2 linked regions of the Caenorhabditis elegans genome follow. The protein of the gene in region 2 interacts with the protein of the main gene of each other region in a pairwise test. Each region holds a gene or a part of one and is shown on either strand. Other genes may lie near its edges.

The links.
Region 1: the proteins of pdk-1 (region 2) and pcm-1 interact in a two-hybrid assay, tested with the Caenorhabditis elegans proteins (one large-scale study listed by BioGRID).

What each region holds. Positions count from the first base shown.
Region 1 is NC_003283.11:5,959,421-5,965,592, forward strand, and holds pcm-1 (Protein-L-isoaspartate O-methyltransferase), read right to left. Parts: upstream 4,463-6,172; 5' UTR 4,285-4,462; coding exon 4,230-4,284; intron 3,800-4,229; coding exon 3,663-3,799; intron 3,483-3,662; coding exon 3,378-3,482; intron 3,325-3,377; coding exon 3,202-3,324; intron 2,504-3,201; coding exon of another isoform or gene 2,491-2,503; coding exon 2,407-2,490; intron 1,516-2,406; coding exon 1,450-1,515; intron 1,398-1,449; coding exon 1,290-1,397; 3' UTR 780-1,289; downstream 1-779. Other genes in the region: mcp-1 (GDP-D-glucose phosphorylase 1), read left to right, coding at 2,454-2,503, 5,521-5,611. UniProt on the Caenorhabditis elegans protein: Initiates the repair of damaged proteins by catalyzing methyl esterification of L-isoaspartyl and D-aspartyl residues produced by spontaneous isomerization and racemization of L-aspartyl and L-asparaginyl residues in aging peptides and proteins.
Region 2 is NC_003284.9:1,319,785-1,327,615, reverse strand, and holds the start of pdk-1 (3-phosphoinositide-dependent protein kinase 1), read right to left. Parts: upstream 6,273-7,831; 5' UTR 6,254-6,272; coding exon 6,167-6,253; intron 5,444-6,166; coding exon 5,285-5,443; intron 3,234-5,284; coding exon 3,038-3,233; intron 2,921-3,037; coding exon 2,588-2,920; intron 2,548-2,587; coding exon 2,454-2,547; intron 2,405-2,453; coding exon 2,239-2,404; intron 2,188-2,238; coding exon 1,946-2,187; intron 1,544-1,945; coding exon 1,487-1,543; intron 1,437-1,486; coding exon 1,148-1,436; intron 1,077-1,147; coding exon 909-1,076; intron 243-908; coding exon 123-242; 3' UTR 1-122. UniProt on the Caenorhabditis elegans protein: Involved in the daf-2/insulin receptor-like transduction pathway, which controls longevity and prevents developmental arrest at the dauer stage. Phosphorylates and activates sgk-1, akt-1 and akt-2.

The sequences.
Region 1 (6,172 bases), on a different chromosome or scaffold from region 2:
TGATTTTTTTGGATGCGTGAAGTTAGATTTAGAGGGAAGTACCTAGCTGGAAACATGTGCAGCTTCATTTTCCAAAATTTAAATACAAATTCTAAAATGTGACAAATCTATCCACAGTTACAGTAACTAGTACTTTATTTTTCAGAAAAGTATGCAGGTGTCTTTGGTGAAAAGAGACGACTGCAGTTTTCTGAAAGAAAAATACTCTAGAAAAATGTGCCGTTTTTCAAATATTCGGATTTTCAGTAACCGGCAAGTTCTGCACATCCAATTTTGTATTTTTCGCTACAATACTACGGGTCTCACCATGACAAATTTTTGTTCAGTGCTAGATGCTGTGCGCCTTTAAAGAGTACTGTAACTTAGAATCTTCGTTTCTGCGGAACTTTATTGAGTTTTCAAGGAAACTGAAAAAAAAAGTCAGTGAAAATAATGAAAACACCCAAATTTTAGATAAAACCGATAAATTTTTTGAATTTAACAAAATTTGTCGGGTCGAGACCGGGTACCGTATTTTAAAAATCGTAAATTATGGTCACATGGTGGGTACGGTCGATTTAATTCATGACTGTCCACTTTCTTGTTTTTTTTCCGGTTTGTTTGGTTCTTCTTTTGACACAAATCAGTTTCTTTTTGGGATTCTTTTTTTCGGAAAAAATGGGAATAAGACATTGCTTTTCATTTTCGAGGCACGAAAGATCTGTTCGATTAATGTAAAGGTTCAGCTCAATTTTTGCGCATCTGTCAACCCCTGTGTCTACAATACCCGACTCGAAGGCTTTATTTTTTAAAGAAAACTCTAAATGAACTTTTTCTGCAAGAAAATAGCACTCGATCAAAGATCCCTACGCTATCCAAAACAACAATTAAGTGCTTTTACCGGAAAAGGACAAGATGAAATGATTCCGGTGACTTGTCAATCATTGCTCAAAATGGACAATCCAGATAGTGAAGGACATTTAAGTTTTCGATTGTTGACCAAAACAGAAACGATAAAAAAGTAAACGACATAGTGTAGTAGGAAAACGTAAAACAAGAAGAAACTGAGTTATGTCTTCTCAAAAACTCGGCTCCTCTTCTCGCTAATGAATGACACTTGACGTAGACGAGAGTAAGGGTTCCTAGAAAAAAAAAGCATTTGAAGAAATAGTTCACTAATTTTTTGACAGAAGAACACGGTTTATATGTACACGCAACATTTCAAAAGAAAACCTGAATCAAAAATAAATAGAGATGGTATACAATATGCACAAGTTGAGTATATGTACAAAGGGAGAAAACATTGAAATTTAATTGCGGTTCCATTGTTCTTCGCGACTTGTCAATGGCACGTAGATCACGTGTTCCACAATCTTTTGCTCAATTTTTCCATTGATCTTATCGATTTGCATGAAGACCTGAAAGTGGTTTAATGCATAATATGCTATGTATTATGAATTGAAAGCTAACCTGATTTCCGTCGACTTGTTCAACCGGAATCATCATTCTGCCACCTTCAGCCAGTTGATCCGTGAGCTGAAATATTAATTGCATAATTAAAAAATGGAGCAGCGCTAGTGGGGAAAGTGTTAAAAACTACTCATATGGAGCTAAATGACTAAAGGGATAATTACTCAGTTTTCGCCACTCATAATTTTGGAAGTCGACCGAAATAAACATTTTCCTACATTTTTATACTGTAATTCTGTTTTAATTATTCGTACTAAAACAATGTAGGAGTCGGAACATGCGACATTTCTTTGGATATTAATTTTGGCAATTTGCCAAAACTGTGACCGAAAATTATGGAAAATCTAAATTTTTTTGAAGTGTTTTATTATGATATTCGGCCGTCTTGGATCATTATAAATGTATTTAGACAAAATCCCCACTGGCACTACACCAACTTTACGACATAATTTTTTTAAACTTTCAATTAGCTTTGACAATAATTAACTCTGATAGTTTATCTAGATTTTGGATCATATTACACATGTAGGAATGTTGCCCTGTTTTATGCACCTTCTATGTTTCCAATCTGGTTAATTGTAGGATTTGGTCACAATTGCCAAAAATTTGAAATTCAAATAGGCTACGATTTGGTTTGACACTTTCATCGAATTTTGCATCATCTGTTCAATTGAACGTATTATGCTAATATTCAACGTGGTACTCTTGCAAACATATTTGTCTGTATCTGATCTTCAGAATTTCGAAACAGAATTATCAATATTTCTGCCGAGAGGCTCTTCCTTTCTTTTTTTATTGGTCAAAAAAGGGCATATAGAGAGACACCTCCTCATTGCCGATTCATGATTCAATTTGTGCATGTGTGCATGTGATCCGGACGGCACAGCAAGAAAAAAGGGGGAACCGAATTTCGCGTTTTTTTTCATTTTATTTCTTCTCGACCACAAAGTCACGTACCGCTTTGGGGACTCCTTTTGAAGCTGCTCCCACGTGAATTGCATTGTATGGAGCCTTTTCCGCGAATCCTTGACGACCGTCTCCCTAGAAATATGAGGTAGTTTTTAAATTCGTTTTTTTTTTCGAAAAAGTTTCGCTTTTTGTAACAAGTTTTGTGTACGCTTGATTGTGTGTCATTCTCCTTTTTGGTCAATGTTTCTGGTTTTTCGACTTTTATATATTCTCAAAAATCTACACTACACAAAATGTGTTTTTAATTTAAAATATAGCAAATATACTTTTCGATTTCATTTACTGCAAATTTTTAACAGTTTTTCAGAAGATTATTTACTTATTCAATGACGTTGATAAAAACCTGAAAATTGTAACTAAATGAATACTCGCAAAATAATAAAACTGCATGGGTGTATGCGCAGATTTCAAAAAATAGATTTTCTTCTACCGAATTCTCGAACAGTTTGAACTTCTGGCAATAAAAAAAAGTTTTTTAAAAGTCTGATAGCCACGTATATTGCCTTTTAATATTTAATTTTGAAAATCAATCAAAAAACATTGTGCGCCTGCGCAGACAGTTGTAGACAAGAGAGAGAAACAGAAAAGGCATTCCACTACTAATACGTGTACTAGTTTTTCCAGCTGTATTTAAAAAAAAAATCCACGTCTATGTGACCATGCTAGATAGTTTCAGTTTCATTTTTTATCTTCCCAAAACAGTCCTAGGTGAGTACAGCTATTAAAAATCAATCCATATGGTAGTGCAAAATGTTCGAATTCTTCGATTTTTTTAAAATTTACCTCAATAATGATAACATTTCCACGTTCCAATTGTTCACTGTGATGCTTTCTGATATTTTTCTCGCTTAATTCGACCAGCTGTGGCATATGTTCAATTCCAACAACCGTGCCATTTCGGCCAACCTAAATTACTTTTTTTTAAATTCCAATTATCTAAATCTATGCAGTTTTTATACCATCATTGCCATACAAACTGTCAAATATCCACTTCCTGAGCCAACGTCAAGAGCTTTGGCACCGGCAACCAGGTGGTTTTGTAGGTAGTCGAGAGCAGCTGCGTGCTGTCAATGAAAAAATGATAATGGGCGAAAGCGAGTAGGAAAAGAGCTGCTTAAAACTCAGTTGGCAGAATTTGCAGGTGTTGGCAGTTTTTTTTTGTTGTGTGGGAATTTAAATTAAAGCTTTTCTTTCAATTATAAATACTTTCTTACTTTTTTCCAACAATTTCCTCAAATTCTTACCATGTGAGGTGCAGAAACCGTTGCATTATATCCAATTCGTTGAGGAGCGTCTTCATAAGGAGCTCTCGGAGCAAAATCTCCACGATCAACGGATTTCATCGCATCGTAGGCTCTTTGACTGGCAAACACTCGATTATCTGAAATTTTAGATTTTTTTCATTTTTGACAAGAGTTTTGTGCTCGCGTTCCCCGTAATTATACAGAACTAGAATAGACCATTAGCCTTTCGTTTTGACCAATTTAGGATTAATTGAGTTTGTGTCTCGTGTCTTCTTTCTCAGACACTGCCTGTTTTCCTTCTTATTCAAGTGTTGAAGCTCTCAAATTTCAGGCTATCCTCGCGTTTGTTTTGAGAATTTTTGGTTTCTTACAATTGTGAATTCAATACATTTCGAACTTGTCTAGTTGCTTTTTTTGCTTAACTTTTCTTGCTAATTGTTGATTATATTACAAGAAATATTTACTTTTTCACAATTATTTCTTTAAATTTCTCTATAGGCCTATAAAAACTTCATATACATGTGTTTTTGAAGTTCAATATTTAAATTTTCGATTAAAAAAACCTACTTCTCAAATTATCGATGAGCTCCGAATTAGTCGAACCACTGGATCTCCATGCCATTCCTTTTGCCAAAGTTCTTGTAGTTAAAACGAGTAAAGTTGACACGAACTGAAGTCGTTTCATGCACCAGAATATGTAGAACTTTCGAGAATTTCACAGAAAAACAAGGTTTAGCTCCGGCTGTTTATCTGTACAATCGATGTTCTCTCAGACGTTATGGAGAAGAGACGCAGCGTATTAGAGGAAATGTTGGAGAGACGGAAAAGAAAAGTGACCGGTTAGAGAAATGGATGGTTAAATATGAGAAAGGAAATGAAAAATAGTTGAGTGTAATGAAAAACAATGGAAACTTAAATTAAAGAATGTGTCATGCCTGGATAAACTAATTCTACAGAATGCCAGGATGTTTACGTTGAAATGAAATAACTTTTCGAAAGAGCAAGAGCACCTCTAGTAGTTGTCTAGTTGTTTAGAGTGCTACTAGCTCTTCACAGCTGCCCTCTCACAAACTATCTGGTTGACCTCTTTTGTATGTGTAGTTTCGTTTACACGTAATGTGTATCGACATCTTTTGAACGTTTCATGTTTTGCGCTGAGTCATTGCAAATAGTCATCGTTTTTTAGAAATAAATTTTGCACTCAAAAATGATGCAAAATTTATTTGAAACTCGTTTCTATTTTTAAATATTTAATTTTTAAAATAACAAACAAAAATAAGCAAAATAGTTCACCATAAATATATTACAATACAACATTTCTTCCCCAAACTATATATATTTTTACTCACATTTTTTAAGAAACAAAAAATATTTGTCCTATTTCAAAAAAGAACAAAAAAAAAACGAAAATCAATATGTGCCAAATTTTGAGGTATCAAGTTTCCTACACAGAAAGTGCTAAATTCTTCTTTGTTGAAACATTTGTTTCAAATTAAAATAAAATACTTAAAAAATAACTAATTCCAAAAATCAAAAACTTTCTCCGAAGTTCCTACAACTGACTTCAAATTTCTAAATTTTATTAATTCAACATTCAAGTTCAAATACCTAACATGGTTGGACATATTCTATTGAAAATTTTCTTTATTTTTTCCTGACATCTTTTCTAACTTACTACTTAGTTTATATGTATGTGCTTGCTTGGTCCGAATATCCCGTGCTTTTTCATCTTCTCCTCCATCCGGCTGGCGTGGCAGCTCGTCAAATCCGTCTATCTGTGCTCTTCACCACACGCGTAACTCTTTTCTTTTCACTCTGTTCGTTTACTTCTCTAAATCTCCCAACTCTCGCCTTTCAGAAGACCCCGCCCCATCGACAAGATGCCAATGCGGAAAATCGTGATGTTGGGCGCCAATGCTCGTACGCAAAGATCAGTATCGTCTATACAGGTAAGATTTTAATTTGCATGTAGCCCCTAAAAGCCTAGAAAGTAAATTTTAAATATTCTTAATCATACGTTTAAATCGAAAAGACGAACGTTAGAGACTAGATTTGCTAAGATTTTTTTCTGATAATTATAACATAACGCTGCAAATACTTTGACAAAATATTTAAACAAAAACGCTCAAAAAATCAGTAAAGACACATACGTTTTAATACTCATGCCACTCTGCCTAAAAAATTGAGAAAATCCGTTTTTTTTAAATTCAAACTCGTAACCCTAGATTTATGTAGTGGCAAAAAATAATGGTTAAAACTTGTTTTTAATATTTAAAAAAATAAATACCGTATGGCACCCATTTCTCGACATTGGCATATCAAATGTCAATTTTCGTTTTAAAATTGAATTTTTAATTTTGGAATGTAGAAAAATAATTCAAAATTGTTTTTTAAAATTATATTTTTTCATAATTTTTCAATGAACCTCAATTTTGGAAAACTGATTTTTCTATGTCCCCATGATCACAAATTATTGTATTTCTAGCGTTTCCACAAATTCTCAACCCATA
Region 2 (7,831 bases):
TATTTAATGACAGTTGGAAAAAACCAAAGTGAGGAATGAAAGGAGATGTAAGGACGCAAAATGATACAAAAGTGTGATTTGTTTGATGGTGATTTTGTGGGGAGTAGAAGGGAGGTGAGCCTTCAAGGCGACTTCTTGTCCATTTGCATTGAAAGCTTCTTGCTCACTTGCTCGGCTTTTAGCGCCTTTTTCTCCTCCTTTTCTTGTTTGCGGCGCAGCGCCTTCTGTTCACGCATCATTTCCTACAAAAAATTTTTTTTCAGCAAGTTGATCATTTTTTGAACAGAAAAGAAGTATTGAAGGTGTTCTAAGTTTGGGTGGTCCATAATAATAAGATTTGCGTGGTGGTCCAAAAATGCTTGTTACTGGGTGGTCTATAAGTGTACATGGTGGTCCATAATTATACAGGGTGGTCCAAAATTATAGACCACCCCTAAAAAATTTAAATCATCAAAAAATTTAAACCGTCTAAACATCATAAGACTTTCCAAAAAAATATACGGGAAGATTTTAGAGTTGCATGGAAAATAAAGAACCTTTAGAACATTTTGAATTTAGTTTTGTTTAGAGATTATCTTTTTTTGAAAATTTTCCAGAATCTAGATTGTCCAAAAAAAATATTTTGACAAGAAAAGTTGAACACAAATATTCTATATTCTTTTGAAGGATTATGAAATCTCGAAACAAGCTCTGTAAAAATCCAATTTTGAGAACAGAATTTTCAAAATTCAGAAAACTGTCACACTCCAAATTTTTTCAGACATTTCTCAATTTTTTTTTGAAAATGTTTAAACCTGTCCACAAAATAGCAATAGGCTCTAAAGTCTAATGAAAATTGGCAAAAATTCCAATAAAAAACTCTGAACTTGCTGGAAACTCAGTGAGGGGGGCCTTCCAGTAATTCATACCTTTCTGGACTTTTTCTTTCCATAAATGCTGCCAAATGTTCCGTCACGCATCGCAGAGTTAAAAGTCTTTTCGATAGTCACCGAGTACCGCTTGCGAACATCATTGATAGCCTTACACCACTCATCTGCTTTCTTTTCGAGATCAAACAAGTAGTAGACGCGGTTGGGCTGAAAATTTGAAATTTTCAGATTCATTGAGTACTATAATGAGATAGACAGCTATGATTATTCTGACCTACCGTATGTATAAAGAAAGTTCCCGAGTTTTTTAGCTCCACCTGCATGCACGGCGTCCATGGTACCTCTCCTTTGAGCACAAGATTCGGCACATCAATGTACAAGAGATGCGGTCCTTCGGTCAACAGGAACATTCGGCGTCTGGCAAACAATCCTCGCTTCTTTTCCAAATATCCTTGTTTCAAAATGAGCGAGTTGTTGGTGAAGATGTGGAATGGGTTTTTGACACGTTGCTCTTCGAGCTTCTGCGCACGTGCGGCGCGGTTCTTTTCGGCTTCCGAATTGGCGCGTCTATAATTTAATGATTATTAAAAATAACCAATTAGGTGCAAATCACTCACGGTGCAATTTCCGAAACAAATGGGTCTCCGCGATGTTCCACGTTAGACGGTCTGAAACTTTCTAAGGGGTTAGTAATTTTTATCAACTATTGAGAATTTTCAGATCAGCATCTCCTTGAATAAGGCATAGTACTGTCAAAGAAAATTAATTGATTTGAATCAATTTTTGATCAGTAGATGCAAAAGAATCATTGCCAGAATTGCAAATGAAAAGTTGGTCAGTGCAAATGAAGAGATGGTCAGTGCAAATGAAAAGTTGGTCAGTGCAAATGAAGAGGTGGTCAGTGCAAATGAAGAGGTGGTCAGTGCAAACTGTTTTTTGGTCGGTGCAAATTTGCACTTTGTCAGTTCAAATCTTTTGGTCATTGTTAATCAGAATCAAATAATTAATAGTTTCAATAAATTTTGGTCAGTGCAAGGTAAAACTTTTAATGCAAGAAAAAAATGCTTCAAACTCACGTTGATGGCTGTGATGCGCTAGCATCATTTCCCAAATTCATCAAACGGAACAAGGCACGATCATCAAGTCCCGGCTCGACAGGCCCAATGTTAGAGTAGTACTCCGGCTCGCCAAATGTGGCTGGAATGTAGGCGTGCAGGACTGGTGGCTTGATATTTGCAATGTTCACCCAGTCAACGTTTTCAAAAAACTTGTGAGCCATAAGTTCTTGACTGGTGATACGGGTACTCGGGTCGCGCACCTGTAAGTTGAAAATTACGTATTCAGTTTTTAAAGTTTCATGTCAACCTACCAAAATCTTTGCGATAATTTCCGACGCTTCCTCTGGAAATCCTTCTGGGAACGAGAAATCCAACTCCTGGATTCTTTTCAAAAGATGGTACTGGTTGACGGCTCTGAATGGTGGCTGTCCGGCTAGACACTGGAAAAGGATACATCCCAATCCCCAAATGTCGGTTCTGAAATCCAACTGTTAAATTTGACATTCTACAAAGAATCGGAGCTTACTGTGGTCCCACATCTCCGTCAGCTAGCATCTCCGGGCTCACGTAGAGAGCAGTTCCAACAAATGTGGTACGTCGAGCAGTGTTCTCTTCTGGAACTGGCAAAAATTGTTTCAGTCAAATTTCCGAAAACCTTACCCTCCTCATCCGAATAGAATCGAGTTGGCGGCGGCGATCCAGAATCCGAAGATCGCGAGCTTGCCTGATTCGCATCCGTAAAGCCCTCCTGTGACAGTTGGAGACCGCCAAACGCCTGGGCACTTCCAAAATCTGTGATGAGAATGTGACCGTCTTTCTGGATGAGCACATTGTCCGGCTTCATGTCTCTGTGCACAATTTTGTTGTCGTGTAGGAATTGCAGTCCGGTGAGGATTTCCGAGGCAAAGAATTTTGAGGTGAGCATGTCGAATGATCCAAAATGGCACAGCGACTCGCCAAGATCACCATTTTCAACAAGTCCGATCACGAAATCTGAATATTAATTGAGGTTTAATTTTTTTTTTAAGTTGACGTTTTTATTGGAATAAAATGATCACAAGTGGATTTTGATGGGTTCAGAAAAGAACCTTGGCGCTGGAAAAAACTCACAAATTCTAGCCTGGTCGTGAAAATGTGTGTAGAGCTGTGTGACAAACGGATGACCACCGCATTCTTGTGACAGGTATGTTAAGATATTCTTCTCGCGAATGATTGCGTCCATTTTTTGATGGCGGTTGAGGTACGACTTCTGGAGCACTTTGACGGCGAACATCGCATCTGTTGCCACTTCGCGACATCGGAATACCTGGAATATTAGGGTTTTACTGGAAGCTTGTTTTTTGGTGTTTTGAAATTTTTTAGGTGCGTCTACAAATACAATGCGGGAAAGGTTCTAATTTTTCAGAAATGTTACTTATTGTTTTGCTAATTATATCCAGAATTTTGACAGTTAATGTGCAATAGTGGCTTCAGTTGAAGAGTTTGCGGTAAATTTGCCAAATTTTCTGTTTTCCGAGCTCGACAATTTTGCCGAATTCGCCGCACACACCACAAATTAGACAAAAAAGATATGGTCGCTAAACTCGGTCAGTGCAAGCTCAATTTTGGCCAGTGTAATTGTTTTTTGGTCAGTGCAGCTGTGTTTTTTATTGTAAATTCGTTCAACTTACAGTTTTTGCTAGAGGAATATTTTTTAATATGAGGCAGAAAATATTATCAGTGTCAGTTGATAAAATATTTTTTTTGTAAAAAGATCCAAAAACGACCAAAATTTGGAAGCTGAAAATTCGTTGAAAATATTTACAGATATAGAAAATAATTATTGTTTTTACGTTTTCAAGATTTGCTATTCAAACACCACTTGGACATTTTAAGTGTGCATCATATGTATAGGGGGGGGGGGCGGAAACTAGTCAGATTTTCTGCTTCTGATCACTACAAACAATCATTTTAACTATCAAAGTGTTTACAACTTATCTGAAAAACAAAACTAGATAATTTTCCACGGATTTAGTCAAGAAATTTCCATTCACTTTTTCAACTCATTGGATTGATAAATAACGAAAAATTATTTCAAGTCGACTATTTTAAGAATCAAAAATTTAATTTCCAAAAAACTGTACTTCCAAATTGGAAGTTCCAACGACATAAATTCCCTACATTCTTCTTGAGTTATACATAGTCAGAGTACAAACCCTTCTCTCCGAAAGTCAATGTAAAGATTCATTACGGTAGTTGTTCTAGGTGTAGGAAACATGCCTCAGGGTCCAAAGCGATAACACGTTCAAAATCAAATCCCTGTGCGCTGTCAATTTGATGAACCCAACAACCACGGTTACATTACCCCTCCCCAATACACACAAACGTCTCGTTTTTCCCTTCAACAAGCACATGTATAGCTGTTTGCGAATGTTGATAGTGCTAGACGCGTGGCTTATTTTGTGTAAGAGACGCAGAACACTAGGTTTGTGTAGACAATTCTATGACGATGTCGTCGTTTTCTGCATCTTCTTCTTTCTCTTCTCCATGCGAAATGAGATTAAAGTGTTGTGGAGAAAAGAGATTGGACAGGGGGAGACAACATGAATGGGCCTACATAGTGCGAGTTCAATTCCCACAGTCGTGTAACCCTGACGCAAAATTGGCCGATTTTTCCGCCAAAAAATACAGTAGTCCGTCTTGGTACGATTTTTGTTTTTTTTTGTTTTGTTGCTAAATTCAAATTGTATACGCCATTGGAAAAGTGTTACGGTCAGTGGTAAAATTACCTAAAAAAACCTTTCGGTGCCAAAATGATGATAACTTACAGTAAAAAAGATTGGAAAACAAAGAGAAATCTAAAGCAATTCTAGAATTCCTACAATGTTGGAATATGAGTATTTGAAACACAGTTAGAGCATAAAAATGGGAAGGTGAAAATTCAAGGACTAGAAAAAAATAAACCAATTTTCCAAATTTTCTAATTTCTTATGATAGTCGCTCATTTTAGCGCCATGAAGATGATTTTTAAATATTTTTTTTAATGACCGTACTAAACCTTTAAAAAGATTTGAAAAACACATACATTTTGAATATACATAAGTAAAAAAAGCTATAAAAATCGATAAAAACTCAGCATTTAACTAATAGTGAGGTATATTGTGTCAAGATAGATTTGTGGCAAAAACTGCAAATTTTTTGCGGCTAGGTAATACCAGTACTATCAGTTGAATTGCCAAGAAAGAATCACCGATGTTCCGAAAAAAATGGGCAAGCTTACTTCAAGCACTAATTCAGGCATTCCGAGTATTTTCCAAGCTTTTCCTTGTACTCTGATACTAGTTGCACACATTTCTGGAAATTTCCTCGTTCACCAACCTGGCTGTAGGCTCCTTCGCCCATACTCTGAAGAAACATGAAGTCGTTGGAAGTTCTCTTCGGACATCCTTCTTTAATGCTTTTAGCTATGAGATCTTCGGCGGTGACTGGGGATAAGCTGTTCTCCGATTCACTTGCTGTTGGTGTTAAGTTGAGCGTCTGGAAAATAAAATTTTGAAAATTATTCTACAAGTTTTTTTTTTTCATTTTTGCCTAGAATAGTTGTAAAATGTGAAAAAAAAAACATAATGGAAGTCAACCAAAATTCATATTTCGAAATTCATATTTAATTAATATTTAATTGTATACTCTCGGTCATCTACATATTTATGCTAAAACGATCTTAGGCAGGTGAAACCTCAAAACTTTTATATTAAAGCATCAACTGCAAATTTTCAAATTCAAGTTTTAGAGCGTTTCATCATGCTATTCGGTTAAGTGTTCCGGCCCAAACATTTATTTAAAAAAAGCCTAAAAAATTTTTTTCGCTACGGAGCCTTAGAATGTTCAAGCTAGAAGTAGGCAAACAGAAGCCATAAGCTTGCCGGCCAATTTTGTATTGTAGGTAAAATTGGAACGTTCTGAAAATTGGACCAGGTGCTTTATCAATTTTTCCTAGACAAAAAAAAATATTTTAAAATATTTTCTATTTAACTTATCTGCTACGTGGCAAAACGTTTTCCCTATAAAAAAGAGTTTTCCGGTTGAATTGGCTCTCCAATTCACAAAAGAATTTAGAACACCAAAAATCTAGGTTTTAGGTTCAAAAAGTGTATTGCAGTTCCCCGCTTTGAAAGAGGGTCTAAAAAACGGGTCTAGTTTGATAAGTGCACCCGAACTTTAAGCCGCATTCCGATGTTCGTCTAGAAACTAGTTCCTCACCGTTGGCGCCGCTTCACGATCCGATGTCGTGTCATTGTTAGTAGTTGTGGTGTCGAGCGACGTGTTAGTTGGTGTGAGATCCTCCATCGAGATGGATCTGAAATTGAAAATTTTACCATTTACTGGATTTTTATGCACATATAATAAGAGGAAGAATATGATTAGAACATGATTATTCGAAAATACTGGCCGACTCCAGTGTTCCTGTTTTTATTTGCTGTTTTTGGCGCACAAAACCGCCTAGCAACGAGCGTGCTCGAATTACAGACTGAAAATGAATCGAAGCAGCGGCGCGGTGCGAAAACAAAAAAAAGGCGAACGTCTTCTCTCTTTTGACTAGAAAACAACGAGGAAACTGCAATACTTGATTTCCAACAAAAACAGATGAGGATTAACATTTGAAAAACAAGGTTTTTGCATATAGCTTTGAGGAAAATCTGTTTTTGGTCAGTGCAACACGAAATTTTGTCAGTGCAAAGGTTTTTGTCAGTGCAAAACGAAATTTTGTCAGTGCAAACCATGGGTGGGCGGCAATTGTCGAAAGGGCCGATTGCTAATTTTATTCAAAAAATGTTTATTTCGGCAACTCCCTGAGTTTTGATCTGCCGAAAATTTTGAATTTGGAATTACCGGCCAACACTTTTTTGCCAGAATAAAAATTCAGAATCTCTAAATATTTTAAGTTGGAAAAAAAATTACACTTATTCTCCAAAATAACACTTATTACAGTGGAATATTGTTTTTAAAGTATTTTTTTAATTGAGAACTAACGAATAATCAATTCGGCGGAAAATTTTGTTTGCCGCCCACCCCTGGTGTCAACTTGAATTTGGTCAGTGCAAGCTTAATTTTGGTCAGTGCAACTGAGCTTTTGTCGATGATAAATTCGTCCAATTTACAGTTTTAGCTACACGTATGTTTTTAAACATAAGACTCAAACAATTGTTAAAGCATCAGATTCATACCAGAAATTTCCAAACAAAAATTAAGAAGCTGAAAATCTAGACAAAATGAGTCTGGTGTTTCAGAGAAAGAAGCAAAGTTCAAGTGTTCAGACAGACATTCACAGGCCCCTCCTCCATCTCTGTCTAGCACCCTCTCATTTTCTAATTCAGCTACTTTTCGGGACGATTATCGCGGCAAACCATCGAACAAGTTTTTGTCGTGTACTGCTGTATTTTCAGATTTTTCTAGCAAGATATATGGGCACGGAAAACAACACAAAAAAAAAGAAAAAAAAATATGGCAAGTATGCAAATTAAAAAACATTATTATCTTGAAATCAAAGAAAATTGGGAAAAAAAGGAAGTCCTCGGAAAAAAGCAAGGAAAAACCGACGGTAAAACCAACACAGACAATTGCCTAGCGTTTGATAAGTGTTAGACGAAAGGCAAGTCTGTGTGCGTTTCTGCGTCTCGGCCGTTCCGCGCAGTGCCTCGGTGCGCGCGTGTGTGTTGCAGCGTCGACCCCCCGGGAAGCAGAGTATGAGCGAAGACGAGGGGCCGCTGGCCGCCGAAGAGACGCAGCCGCAACAAGTACGGTTGTTATCGCTTTCAGGGAGGCCTCCCTTCGTCAGCGTCCACCGCCTCTCCGGAGACAAACAAACATTGTGTGTGGGATGTGTGTGTGTGTGTGTGTGTGGCACAAGTCTATGTGTTGTTTTTG